Anolis sagrei: one gene and its partner. The protein of the gene in region 2 interacts with the protein of the main gene of each other region in a pairwise test. Links are inferred from orthologs where the notes say so. Each region holds a gene or a part of one and is shown on either strand. Other genes may lie near its edges. The genes, in order: FCHO1 and PTK6.

Region 1 (7,695 bases), on a different chromosome or scaffold from region 2:
GGGATTTATACCCAGTCCTTGAAACAAACAAACAAACAAGAAAACGGGCCCTTTCAAAAGCTGCCTCTGCAAAAAGCAGCAGAAGAGGAAGAGGAAACCACAACCTTTCGGCTTTGAAAACATCCAAAATCAAGTAAGAGCCAAGGGCAAGAATAACATGTAATAATAATAATAATAATAATAATAATAATAATAATAATACACTTGGGAAGTGTCGTGTGATCCAATACAACCGCCAACATAGTGATCTTGTTTGCTGTGTACTAATCTTGTTGTGTTTCAAATAATAATAATAATAATAATAATAATAATAATAATATTAAAAAAAACAGTCAAGGTGGTCCCAGCGGTGATCGGAACACTGGGTGCAGTGCCTAAAGACCTTGGTCAGCACTTGAAAACAATCGGTGCTGACAAAATTACCATCTGCCAGCTGCAAAAGGCCATCTTACTTGGATCTGCACGCATTATTCGCCGATACATCACACAGTCCCACACACTTGGGAAGTGTCTGACGTGTGATCCAATACAACAGCCAGCAGAGTGATCTTGTTTGCTGTGTCCTAATCTGGTTGTGTATCTAATAATAATAATCGTTCCCAAGACTTCACATGGCCACAATGTATATATACATACACACAAACACATAAATGCACACACACACACACACACACACACACACACACACACACTGTATAATAGTAATATACATAATAAATAATAACACTACTATATAATATAATAACGGCAATAATTATCATTATATTGCTACTAATAATAAATATAATAGTAATAATAGTGTTCCCAAAAATTCACATGGCCATAATTACACACTCACACACACACACACATCTATCTGTATCTAACTAAATAATAAAGTCAGTGTTCCTATGTATGCGGCGGTGCGGGTATGTGGCAGCTTTGTGATTGGCTGCCATTTCCATAGGCTACTGCGACCCCCCACGATTGACGGACCTGGACCAAACTTGGCACATGGTTTAGGGGAAGACAGACCATGGATGATGGGATCTGCAGTACTTCCAAAAACGTAAGCTTTCAAAGACCACTGCGACCCCCACCAATGACAGATCAAGACCAAAGTTGGCCCACTTTACAACCTGGTGTAGTTAGAGGGAGGATGGACCATGGATAATGGGATTTACAGTCTCTTCACCCAATTCACTTCCCACAGAACACTGTGGTCCCCAAAAATCAGAGACCTGGACTAAACTTGCCACTCAGACCCACCATGACCCACTTTAAATCCTGGTGAGGTTTGGGGGACATAGGTCAATGGATGATAGGAGATGCAGTACCTTCACTCACTTCCTGAAACCACTACAAGTCCCAATAATGATGAATCAGGGCTAAACTTGGAACACAGAGCCCCCGTGACCCACTCTACATCATGGTGCAGTTTGGAGGAGGATGGACTATGGATGATGGAACTTGCAGTAACTTCACTCACTTCCTGAGACCACTGCAACCTTCACCAATGCCTGATCAAGATGAAGCCTCGCACACTGAGCCCTCATGACTCACTCTACATCCTGGTGCTATCGGGAGGAGGATAGACCATGGACAATGGGACATGAAGTACCTTCACTCATTCCTGAGAGCACTTTGACCCAAACCAATGACTGACTCAGACCAAACTTGGCACAGAGAATCCCCATGATCCACTCAATATCCTGGTGTGGTTTGGAAGAGTTTGGACCATGGATGATGGGACTTGCAGTATCTTCACTCACTTCTTGAGATGACTGCGACCCACACCAATGACTGATCAAGCTCAAACTTGACATACAGAGCCCCCATAACCCACTCTACATCCTGGTGTGGTCTGTGGGATGACGGACCATGGATGATGGGACTTGCAGTACCTTGACACACTTCCTGAGACTACTGTGATCCACACCAATGACTGATCAAGACCAAACTTGACATACAGAGCCCCCATAACCCACTCTACATCCTGGTGTGGTCTGTGGGATGATGGACCATGGATGATGGGACTTGCAGTACCTTGACACACTTCCTGCGACCACTGTGATCCACACCAATGACTGATCAAGCTCAAACTTGGCATACAGAGCCCCCATAACCCACTCTACATCCTGGTGTGGTCTGTGGGATGACGGCCCATGGATGATGGGACTTGCAGTACCTTGACACACTTCCTGAGACAACTGTGATCCACACCAATGACCGATCAAGACCAAACTTGACATACAGAGCCCCCATGACCAACTCAACATCTTGGTGTGGTTTGGACAATGGGACTTGCAGTACCTCGACACACTTCCTGATACTAATAAATAATATAATCAATAAAATAACAATAGTATCATAAAAATAATAATAACAATAAAAAGAATAATAAAGATAATATGAAATGGGACTGTTGTGTATTAATGCTCCCTCCCCACTAGACCATATAAGCTATTTGTATACTAATAAATAATAAACAGAATGTTGTTTTGACGATAGATAGACGATAGACAATGCAGGGAGCGTATGAGTATGCAAAAAAACGTGCACGCCACAATTGTTATGCAAATATATGCAAATAAGGTGCACACTTCCTGTCCTTACTATATATATATATATACACACATGCAAAAAAGGTACAATTAGACCAATCTATGTAACTAAGATGCACACTTCATGCCATTGCAATACACACACACATATATTAGCATGCAAAAAAAAATTGACAACCACCATATCAGATGCACACTTCATGTCATTACAATATATATATATATATATTGTAATGACATGAAGTGTGCATCTGTTATGGTGGTTGTCAACACACACACACACACACACACCAAAAATGTACAATTAGACAAATCTATGCAAATAAGATGGACATTTCATGCCCTTGCAACACACACACACATATGGATGCATAAAATATTGCAAAACACTATGATAATGTACATCTATGCAAATTAGATGCACATACTATTATATATATGTGTGTGTGTGTGTGCATGCACCTTGGCAAACCCCCTCCCTTTCAAGGCTAATGAAGCCCCCTCCCTCTCTCCCTCCCCGCAGTGGTGGGGGTGTGTCCCGGCCCCCGACCTGTCGCGCGCCGATCCCGCACCTGCGCCGCGTCCTCTGCACACAAAACCAGGCGGGGAGCGGGCACAGCCAGCCCCCCCCACCCCTGCGGAGCACAAGCGCTCCTGATTGGCCTGCCCCGCTGGGCTTATTTGCATGCTTAAAGGAGAAGCGGCCCTATTTCCATCCCGCTATTGGCGTGCGCTTCTGCGCAGGCGCGTACAGGCCTGCCTTACATTGTCTTGTGTTTACATTTATATGCCGCCCTTCTCACCCCGAAGGGGACTCAGAGCGGCTTACAAGATATATTATACATACAATATATTATATTATTAGCATAGTACAATATCAGTATGATATATTACTATATCATACCATACCATTATATTGTAATATTATTAGTAATATAAAATATATAATTATAATATTACATTATTATTAGTATTATATTGTATTACATTATATTATAAATATTATATGTATATACATTACATTACATTATAAACATCTATCTTCTATCTATCTAGCTTTCTATCTATCTTCTATCTATCTTCTATCTATCTATCTTCTATCTATCTATCTAGCTAGCTAGTATCTATCTATCTTCTATCTATCTATCTAGCTATCTATCTTCTATCTATCTAGCTATCTATCTTCTATCTATCTATCTATCTTCTATCTATCTTCTATCTATCTATCTTCTATCTATCTAGCTATCTATCTTCTATCTATCTATCTATCTATCTATCTATCTATCTATCTTCTATCTATCTTCTATCTATCTAGCTATCTATCTTCTATCTATCTAGCTATCTACTATCTATCTATCTATCTATCTTCTATCTATCTTCTATCTATCTAGCTATCTATCTTCTATCTATCTATCTTCTATCTATCTATCTTCTATCTATCTATCTATCTATCTATCTATCTTCTATCTATCTAGCTATCTATCTTCTATCTATCTATCTTCTATCTATCTATCTATCTATCTTCTATCTATCTTCTATCTATCTATCTATCTATCTATCTTCTATCTATCTAGCTATCTATCTTCTATCTATCTTCTATCTATCTAGCTATCTATCTTCTATCTATCTATCTTCTTTCTTTCTATCTATCTATCTATCTTCTATCTATCTAGCTATCTATCTTCTATCTATCTTCTATCTATCTAGCTATCTATCTTCTATCTATCTAGCTATCTATCTATCTTCTATCTATCTATCTATCTATCATCTATCTAGCTATCTATCTTCTATCTATCTATCTATCTATCTATCTATCATAGAATCAAAGAGTTGGAAGAGACCTCATGGGCCATCCAGTCCAACCTCCTGCCAAGAAGCAGGAATATTGCATTCAAAGCAACCCTGACAGATGGCCATCCAGCCTCTGCTTAAAAGCTTCCAAAGAAGGAGCCTCCACCACACTCCGGGGCAGAGAGTTCCACTGCTGAACGGCTCTCACAGTCAGGAAGTTCTTCCTAATGTTCAGATAGAATCTCCTCTCTTGTAGTTTGAAGCCATTGTTCCGCATCCTAGTCTGCAAGGAAGCAGAAAATAAGCTTGCTCCCTTCTCCCTGTGGCTTCCTCTCACATATTTATACATGGCTATCATATCTCCTCTCAGCCTTCTCTTCTTCAGGCTAAACATGCCCAGCTCCTTAAGCTGCTCCTCATAGGGCTTATTCTCCAGACCCTTGATCATTTTAGTCGCCCTCCACTGGACACATTCCAGCTTGTCAATATCTCTCTTGAATTGTGGTGCCCAGAATTGGACACAATATTCCAGGTGTGGTCTAACCAAAGCAGAATAGAGGGGTAGCATTACTTCCTTAGATCTAGACACGATGCTCCTATTGATGCAGGCCAAAATCCCATTGGCTTTTTTTGCCGCCACATCACATTGTTGGCTCATGTTTAACTTGTTGTCCACGAGGACTCCAAGATCTTTTTCACACGTACTGCTCTCGAGCCAGGCATTGTCCCCCATTCTGTATCTTTGCATTTCGTTTTTTCTGCCAAAGTGGAGTATCTTGCATTTGTCACTGTTATTGTAATATTATTAGTAATATAAAATATATAATTATAATATTACATTATTATTATTAGTATTATATTGTATTACATTATATTATAAATATTCTATGTATATACATTACATTAAGGTAAAGGTAAAGGTAGTCCCCTGACATTAAGTCCAGTCGTGTCCGACTCTGGGGTGTGGTGCTCATCTCCATTTCTAAGCCGAAGAGCCAGCGTTGTCCGTAGACACCTCCAAGGTCATGTGGCCGGCATGACTGCATGGAGTGCCCTTACCTTCCCGCCGGAGCGGTACCTATTGATCTACTCACATTTGCATGTTTTTGAACTGCTAGGTTGGCAGAAGCTAGGGCTGACAGCGGACGCTCATGCCGCTCCCCGGAGTTGAACCTGCGACCTTTCGATCAACAAGCTCAGCAGCTCAGTGCTTTAACCCACTGCGCCACCGGGGGCCCCACATACATTACATTACATTATATTATAAACATCTATCTTCTATCTATCTAGCTATCTATCTATCTATCTTCTATCTATCTTCTATCTATCTATCTATCTATCTTCTATCTATCTATCTTCTATCTATCTTTTATTTATCTATCTATCTTCTATCTATCTATCTTCTATCTAGCTAGCTAGCTATCTTCTATCTTCTATCTATCTATCTATCTTCTAGCTAGCTAGCTAGCTATCTTCTATCTAATCTATCTTCTATCTATCTATCTATTTTCTATCTATCTTCTATCTAGCTAGCTAGCTAGCTATCTTCTATCTAATCTATCTTCTATCTATCTTCTAATCTATCTTCTATCTAATCTATCTTCTATCTATCTTCTATCTATCTATCTTCTATCTATCTATCTATTTTCTATCTATCTATCTTCTATCTATCTATCTATCTATCTATCTATCTATCTATCTTCTATCTAGCTATCTATCTATCTTCTATCTATCTTCTATCTAATCTATCTTCTATCTATCTAGCTATCTATCTTCTATCTAGCTATCTTCTATCTATCTATCTATCTATCTTCTATCTAGCTATCTATCTATCTTCTATCTATCTTCTATCTAATCTATCTTCTATCTAATCTATCTTCTATCTATCTAGCTATCTACTATCTAGCTATCTTCTATCTATCTATCTATCTTCTATCTAGCTATCTATCTATCTTCTATCTATCTTCTATCTAATCTATCTTCTATCTATCTAGCTATCTATCTTCTATCTAGCTATCTTCTATCTATCTATCTTCTATCTAGCTATCTATCTATCTTCTATCTATCTTCTATCTAATCTATCTTCTATCTATCTAGCCATCTATCTATCTTCTATCTAGCTATCTTCTATCTTCTATCTATCTTCTATCTGTCTGTCTATCTATCTATCTATCTATCTATCTATCTTCTATCTAATCTATCTTCTATCTATCTTCTATTTATCTATCTATCTTCTATCTATCTATCGATCTATCTTCTATCTAGCTATCTTCTATCTTCTATCTATCTATCTATCTATCTATCTATCTATCTATCTATCTATCTATCTATCTTCTGTCTAGCTATCTTCTATCTTCTATCTATCTATCTATCTATCTTCTATCTATCTATCTATCTATCTATCTATCTTCTATCTATCTTCTATCTATCTATCTATCTATCTCTCTATCTATATTCTATCTATCAGTCTTCTATCTATCTATATAAATGCTCTGTGCATAATGAGTTCCCTAAAAACAAAAGAACCAATAAACAAAATCACACCAAATTTGGCAACAAAACGTCTCACAACACAAGGAGTGACCATCACGCAAAACATTATGATTTTGTCATTTGGGAATTGTCGTTGCTGGGATTTATAGTTCACCTACAATCAAAGGGGATTCTGGACTCCACCAATGATGGAATTGAACACAGGGCTCCCATGACCAACAGAAAAAACTGGAAGGGTTTGGTGGACATTGACCTTGAGTTTGGGAATTATAGTTCACCCACATCCAGAGAGCACTGTGGACTCAAACCATGATGGATCTGGACCAAACTTGGCACGAATATTCCATATGCCCAAATATGAACACAGATGGAGTTTAAGGGAAATAGACCTTGACATTTTGGGAGTTGTAGTTGCTGGGATTTATAGTTCACCTACAATGAAAGAGCATTCTGAACTCCACCAAAGATGGAATTCAACCAAACATGGCATACAGGACTTCCATGACCAACAGAACACACTGGGAGGGTTTGGTGGGCATTGACCTTGAGTTTGGGAGTTGTAGTTCACCTACATCCAGAGAGCACTGTGGACTCAAACAATGATGGATCTTATTTATTTATTTATTTATTTATTTAAAAGGGTCTGGACCAAACTTGACACAAATATTCCATATGCCTAAATATGAACACAGATGGAGTTTGGAGGAAATAGACCTTGACATTTGGGATTTGTAGTTACTGGGATTTATAGTTTACTACAATTAAAGAGCATTCTGAAACCCACAAATGACAGAAATGGGGCAAACTTCCCACACAGAACCCCCATGACCAACAGAAAATACTTAAGGCCATCCAGTCCAACTCTCTT
Region 2 (7,873 bases):
AGCAACTGCAACTCCCAAATGTCAAGATTCTATTTCCCCACACTCCACCAGTATTCACATTTGGGCATATTGAGTATTCGTGTAGAATTTGGTCCAGATCCATCATTGTTTGAGTCCACAGTGATCTCTGGATGTAGGTGAACTACAATTCCAAAACCAAAGGACACTGCCCACCAAACACTTCCAATGTTTTCTGTTGGTCATGGGACTGCTGTGTGCCAAGTTTGGTTCAATTCCATCGTTGGTGGGGTTCAGAATGCTCTTTGATTGTAGGTGAACTATAAATCCCAGCAACTACAACTCCCAAATGTCAAGATTCTATTTTCCCCAAACTCCACCAGTGTTCGCATTTGGGCATATTGAGTATTCGTGTAGAGTTTGGTCCAGATCCATCATTGTTTGAGTCCACAGTGATCTCTGGATGTAGGTGAACTACAACTCCAAAACCAAAGGACACTGCCCACCAAACATTTCCAATGTTTTCTGTTGGTCATGGGACTGCTGTGTGCCAAGTTTGGTTCAAATCCATTGTTGGTGGGGTTCAGAATGCTCTTTGATTGTAGGTGAACTATAAATCCCAGCAACTACAACTCCCAAATGACATCATTTTTTTGAGTGAAGGACATACATTGGGTTGTTAGGAGTCTTGTGTCCAAATTTGGTGTCAATTCGTCCAGTGGTTTTTGAGTTCTGTTAATCCCACAAACGAACATTACATTTTTATTTATATAGATGAGAATCTGCACTGATAGGATTGATGCAGTTTGGTACCATTTGGGCATATTGAGTATTCGTGTAGAGTTTGGTCCAGATCCATCATTGTTTGAGTCCACAGTGATCTCTGAATGTAGGTGAACTACAACTCCAAAGCTGCCACTGCTCAAGGCCATGGGATCCTGGGATTTGTAGTTCGGTGAGGAATTGTCACTCTTTGCCAAAGAATGCAGAAGACCTTGTTGAACCACAACTCCCATGATCCCATAGCCACGGCAATTAAAGTGGTGTTGAATGACATTAATATTTCAATGTAGATACGCCTCTTAAAGAGGAGAGCAGGCTATGTGTATCTTCTCTGTGCATTCTCAGAGGCATTGTGTCCAGTGTGTTTACATTTCACATGCCACTTCTCGGTATCAAGTAATGAACAAGACCAGACTGGAAAAAAAGAAAGAAAGAGGAACCAGGCTGGCTGGAGAGATTGCCATTTATTGCAGCCTCTTCCTTGACTCAGAAAGAAATTCCACTGACGTCAATGGGGCATTCCCCTCAGAATTAATTCCTTGTGCAACTCTGGGCACGCCCACATTGTGGAATTAATGCAGTTCGACACCGCTTCAACTGCCGTGGCAATCTGTTCCCAAAAAACATCCTGCAGAAAAAGTATGTGTGTGTGTATATATGTATGTGTGTATATATATATATAGGCCTAAATGCCCTGAAGACACAATGATTCCTCTGACCTTGGCTGCTAAGCAGTTTTTGCCGTGGTTAGTACTTGGATGGGAGACCAGCAATGAATATTTATTTATTTATGACATTTAATGCTGCCCATCTCATCCCGAAGGAGTCTCATAGCGGCTTACAAGTTATATGTACATACAATATATTATATTATTAGCATAGCACAATATTAGCATTATATATTACTAAATTGTACAACACAATACTATAATATTATTTGTAATATTACATGTAATATGAAATATAAAATTGTTATATTGTATTATTATTAGCATTATATTATGTTACATTATAATATTATCAATATTATAGCACAATATTAGTATTATATATTACTATATTGTACTATACCACTATAATGTAATATTAGTAATATTACAGGTAATATAGAATATATAATTATTATAATGTATTATTAGTATTATATTGTATTACATTATAATATTATCAATATGATATGTGTATACAATATATTATTAGCACAACACAATGTTGGTGTTATATATTAAATTGTACTATACCACTATACTGTAATATTAGCAATATTGTATGTAATATGAAATATAAAATTATTATAATGTATTATTAGTATTATATTGTATTACATTATAATATTATCAATATTATATGTGTTTACAATATATTATTAGCACAACACAATATTAGTATTATATATTACTATATTGTACTATATCACTGTAATGTAATGTTAGTAATATTACATGTAATATAGAATATATAATTATTATATTGTATTATTATTTGTATTATATTGTATTACATTATAATCAATATTATATGTGTACAGATATATTATTATCACAGCACAAAATTAGTATTATATATTACTAAATTGCACTATATTACTATACTGTGATATTATTAGCAATATTACATGTAATATAAATATTTTATTATTATTATATTTTATTATTAGTAGTATTACATTGTATTACATTATAATATAATCAATATTATATGTGCATACAATATATTATATTATCACAGCACAATATTAGTGTTATATAGTACTATATTGTACTATAGCACTATAATGTAATATTATTAGTAATATTACATGTAATATAAAACATATAATTATTATATTGTATTATTAGTATTATATTGTATTACATAATATTATAATATCAGGTGATGCCGTCTTTAGTTCAAAGGAAGGAAGTCTTCGAATCATAGTTGGAAGGGGTCACCAAAGGCCATCCAGTCCAACCCCATTCTTCCATGCAGGAAGACACAATCAAAGCCTTCTCGACAGATGGCCATCCAGCCTCGGCTTAAAACTTTCCAGGGAAAAAGCAGCTAAGGGGAAAAAGGAAAGGGCCTGAGGCTGTTAGGAATTGTAGGAGTTGAAGTCCATAACACCTAAAGGGCCGAAGCTTGCCCATGCCTATCTCTCCACAGCACACACAGGTGTTAAAGCACACCTTTTTCAATGAACCTGGAAAGACTGAATGCCAGCAGGTGTAGCTCTTCACGCTGCGCCTAGTCATCACGAGCTAGATTTTAAAGCCATCCCTGTCGAAATTCCCATTTAGGAACACGCCTACCTTGACTCACATCCTTTCTCCGTCTCTCTACAGGGTTTCAGGTGAGATGGTTTCCTTAGCACTATCTTTCGACCAACAACCACTAAGCAAGTTGGATCCTGCCTCGCTTGGAAACCAGATATATTCAGAAGGAAGTGAGTCCAACAGAACCCATCATCCCCAGCAAGTGACAACTAATGCATCTCATATAATGGTGGGGTGATTAGCAATCTTAATCCCCTCTGGAATTTTAGGATGAATGTCGGGATCTAGTTGTTGACCTGGAGATCCCAACATCCACTGTGTTGACTTTAGGAACGCTGGGAGTTGTAGTCTTAAAAAAAATCTGGAGAACTGCATGACATAACTGTCAACTGTCCTGATTGGGTAGAGGCAATCCAGATTTGTTGTTGAAAGCTTTCATGGCCGAAATCACAGGGTTGCTTTGAGTTTTCCTGGTTGTAAAGTCATGTTTCAGAAGCATTCTCTCCTGATGTTTTGCCCACAACTATAGCAGGCATCCTCAGAGGTTGTGAGGTCTGTTGGAAACTAGGCAAGTGGAATGTCCAGGGTGGGACAAAACACTTGTCTGTTGGAAGTGAGTGAATGTTGCAATTGGTCACTTTCATTAGCATTGAATTGCCTTGCAGCTTCAAAGCCTGGCTGCTTCCTGCATGAAAATGAACAAAACCTGGCTACCAGTATTAAAAAACACTAAAATCAGGACAATAAATAAAGAACAACGCATAGAAAACAGGGGAACTCCAGACAGGAAACAACCAGGGAAGCTAACACTTCAAAGGATTCCCCAGACAGGAAGCAGCCAGGCCTTGAAGCTGCAAGGTCATTCAATGCTAACCAAGGTGGCCAATTGCAACATTTACCCTTGCCTCAAACAGACAAGAGTTCTTTCCCCCACCCTGGACATTCCACAGATATATAAATCCCACTTGTCTAGTTTCCAACAGACCCCACATCGCAAATGCATTTGGCGGGGATGAGAGGCAGGGCCTTCTCGGCTGTGGCCCTTCGCCTGTGAAGCACAATCCCAAATGAGATAAGATTGGCTTCTTCCCTCCTCGTTTTCAGGAAATTGAAGTTGTGGTTTTGGGAACAGGCTTTTGGACTTTGACTGGAAAGGCACTACAGCTGATGATACTGCTTATTGTTTTAATTAATGCTTTTTGTAGTGTTTTAATTAATGTTTTCCTGTATTTTAATTATTGCAGGATTATTGTAATTGCTTATATGTAGCGGCATGAAATCGTTGCCAAATGTAAGCCATCCTGAGTCCCCCTTCAGGGATAGAGAAGAGACGGGGTAGAAATACTGGAAATAAATAAATAAAGCTCTGAGGATGCCTGCCATAGATATGGGTGAAACGTCAGGAGAGAATGCTTCTGAATCATGGCCATACAGCCTGGGAAACTCACAGCAACCCAACAATCCTGATTAATATTCCACAGTCCCACTTTTTCTATTTTTCTTTTCAATATCCAAGTTATTTCACTTGCTGCACTGACACTGTCGAATCAGTGCAGTTTGGCACCATTTTAACTACCATGGCTAAATGCTGCAAAACCATGGGAGTTGTAGTTAGGTGAGGCCCCAGCACTCTTTGGCAGAAAAGGAGAAAGATTATATAAAACTACAACTCCAAGGATTCCAAAGAATCTAACCATGGTATCAATCTATGTTAATTTTGCAATGCAGAGCCAATCCAAGCTTTGCTCCAGAGCTGAAGAAAGCCTTTTGCATTGTTGTTGTGTGTCATCACCTCACCGCCTTCTTGTTCTTCCTCTTCTTCTTTTCCCTCCTCCCTCGGTTCAAGGAGCAACAACAGGGCAGGGCTGGGATATATATTACGACTTCTGTCCCATAAAGAGGAAGCCGAGAAGGGTTTCCCCCTCCATTTCAAAGTCTCCGCCTGGCAGTGATTTACTACCTACCAGTAAGCCAACGCAACAGGTTTGCAAAGACTTCCTTGTATTATACCTCCAAGAAAACTGCAGCTGAAGAGCATGGCTTTCTGAGAAGCAGTTGTGCTCATAGTGAAACTGTGGTGTTTTCTCCTCTTGGGCTTTATCTTCTTGACCTGGGACCATCATGAGCTCCAAGCCAGAGCCTCCAAAAAGGAACCGAAGCAAGATTTATACCAGCTTGTGGGATTTTAAAGGAATGACGGAGAGCGAAATGAGCTTCCGGGCAGGAGACCTGTTCCAGGTGATAGAGAAGACAGGAGATTGGTGGTGGGCCAAGAAACTGGATGCCTTGGGCAAGAATTCACAAGAAGGTTATGTCCCCTCCAACTACTTGGCCAAGCAGGAGACCGTGGAAGCGGAACCGTAAGTACTGACTATTGGACATGGATTTGAAAGAAGCGAGGTTTCATGTGCTTTGGACTTATTTATTGTTTATTTATTTATTTACAGTATTTATATTCCGCCCTTCTCACCCCGCAGGGGACTCAGGGCGGATTACAGTGTACACATATATGGCAAACATTCAATGCCAATTTTGACTTACAACATATACAGACATACAAAGAGGCTATTTAACTTTTTCTGGCCACCAGGGGAGCTGTCGCTTTCATCGTCCATCTGCAACGCTGATGAAGTACTTCCGCATTCCCCACATGCTTTTTTGCTGGAGGGCTTTGCTGGAGTCTTTTTTATGGCCTCATAAATTAGTTACTTTAGCCTTCCCACACTTTAAGGTGGTACCTAATTTTCCTGCTTGACAGATGCAACTGTCTTTTGAGTTGCAAAGGTCGACAACAGGCTACACAATTGGTTGGAAACCCACTCCAACCTGGGCTGGGTTCAAACTCATGACCTTTTGGTCAGAGTGATCTTAATGCTGCTGACACTCAGCCCGCTGCGCCACAATCTCTCTCATGCCTCTCTCCATCTTTCTGTGCTGCACTTATGAAAGTTGGGTAGATATGCAAAAGTAACAGAAGTACAGCACAACCCCTGTATCCACAGGACCAGTATTCACAGTTTGATTTAGTGGTAAAATATGTCCTCCTTATGCATTTTTAGGTCCCCCAGCATGAATCTATATCAGTCATGGGCAAACTTGGGCCCTCCAGGTGTTTTGGACTTCAACTCCCACAATTCCTAACAGCCGATAGGCTGTTAGGAATTGTGGGAGTTGAAGTCCAAAACACCTGGAGGCCCCAAGTTTGCCCATTTCTGATCTATATGTTGTTCTTGGTTTTGAAGTCTTTCATTTAAACAGCAATTATCTGCAATTTTATATATGCATGCAAAGATTTGGAACGTATCCACTGTGTATATTCTATAAGAGCCATATAATATCTTTATATGGCACTTTGGTAATAAAAGAATTCTTTTTTCAGCTGCTTTAAAAAAATCCCAATTTTTCTCTTCCATTGCTATTTTCGCCATTTATTCTCAACCTACTTCAGTTTCTGCAAACAGTGTCAAACATGCTCTTTATGAGGTCAAAATTTGTGTGCATTGTGGAATCACTGCAATATGACACTACTTTAATTGCCATGGTTCAATGCTATAGATCCACAGCTGTTTTTACAAGGCCTTTCACCTTCTGTGCCAAAGAGTGCTGCTGCCTCACCAAACTACAAGTCCTGGGATTTCATAGCAATGAGTCATAGCAGTTAAAGTGGTATCACGCTGCATTCATTCTGTGGTGTAGATGCACCTTCTGGGAGAGGAGAGGAGAGGAGAAAGAAGTCTTGTTCTTCCCTGTAAACTCAACCAAAGGCAAACTGCTGCAGTCTTTCCAAACGTCTCTATTCCTCCATGTCCACAACTTTTTGCCAACTTGATCACTTCCTGGTGTTGTTTGACCACATGTCTCAGGTTTTAATTTGTGAAATGTTGGAAGATTTGGACTGATAGATATGGAAAACAAGCAGAGGTGTACATTTATATTGAACTTCAGTTACTGAGAAAAAGCATGCTAGTGAATATAATAAGGCTGCAATGCCACTGCAAGAATGTCATCTAATCCACTTTGCACCAACACACTTCGACCAAAGAGACTAGGAACATGATTTGAACATGAGCTAAAATTCAGCCCACTCATTTATTTATTCATTTGGTGGCGCAGTGGGTTAAAGGACTGAGCTGCTGAGCTTGTTGATCGAAAGGTCACAGGTTCAATTCCGGGGAGCGGCGTGAGCTTCCGCTGTCAGCCCTAGCTTCTGCCAACCTAGTAGTTCTAAAACATGCAAATGTGAGTAGATCAATAGGTACCGCTCCGGCGAGAAGGTAACGGTGCTCCATACAGTCATGCCGGCCACATGACCTTGGAGGTGTCTACGGACACGCTGGCTCTTCGGCTTAGAAATGGAGATGAGCACCACACCCCAGAGTCAGACATGACTGGACTTAATGTCAGGGGACTACCTTTACCTTATCTTTATACCACCTTTCTCACCCCTGGAGAGAATCAAGGCAGTTTACAACATATTAATGGCAAGAATTCAATGCCAACATACAATAAAATAAAATCACAATAATTCTAGAAATCTGAGTGCTTCTGCTGTTAGGAAGAGTTAAAAATATGCTCAGTGCAGTTTAAAAGCATTCTTTGCAAAGTTTCTCACTTAGAACCATGACTATAGATAGAACTGTGGTGCAGCTTTCCAGATCTGGCTGGCAGCAATCCTCACCATTTGGTAGGGCTGCCGGGATTTGCAGTCAATCCCAGGAGGGTTGTCTAATTCCCATTTTAACAGAGAACCACAGAGCTGAAGAGGAATTACTGATTTCCATTCCAACCTGCTGTCAGAGAGAGAGAAATGATTTCTATCTATTGTCGAAGGCTTTCATGGCCAGAATCACTGGGTTGTAGGTTTTTTCGGGCTATATGGC

The links.
Region 1: the proteins of PTK6 (region 2) and FCHO1 interact in binary tests that used the Homo sapiens proteins (3 or more experiments, as listed by UniProt). The two-hybrid records come from large-scale screens. The link is inferred for Anolis sagrei from reciprocal best matches to the Homo sapiens genes PTK6 and FCHO1.

What each region holds. Positions count from the first base shown.
Region 1 is NC_090034.1:62,482,755-62,490,449, forward strand, and holds the start of FCHO1 (F-BAR domain only protein 1), read right to left. Parts: upstream 3,164-7,695; 5' UTR 3,094-3,163; intron 1-3,093. UniProt on the Homo sapiens protein: Functions in an early step of clathrin-mediated endocytosis. Has both a membrane binding/bending activity and the ability to recruit proteins essential to the formation of functional clathrin-coated pits.
Region 2 is NC_090024.1:236,441,656-236,449,528, reverse strand, and holds the start of PTK6 (protein-tyrosine kinase 6), read left to right. Parts: upstream 1-4,834; 5' UTR 4,835-5,114; coding exon 5,115-5,353; intron 5,354-7,873. UniProt on the Homo sapiens protein: Non-receptor tyrosine-protein kinase implicated in the regulation of a variety of signaling pathways that control the differentiation and maintenance of normal epithelia, as well as tumor growth.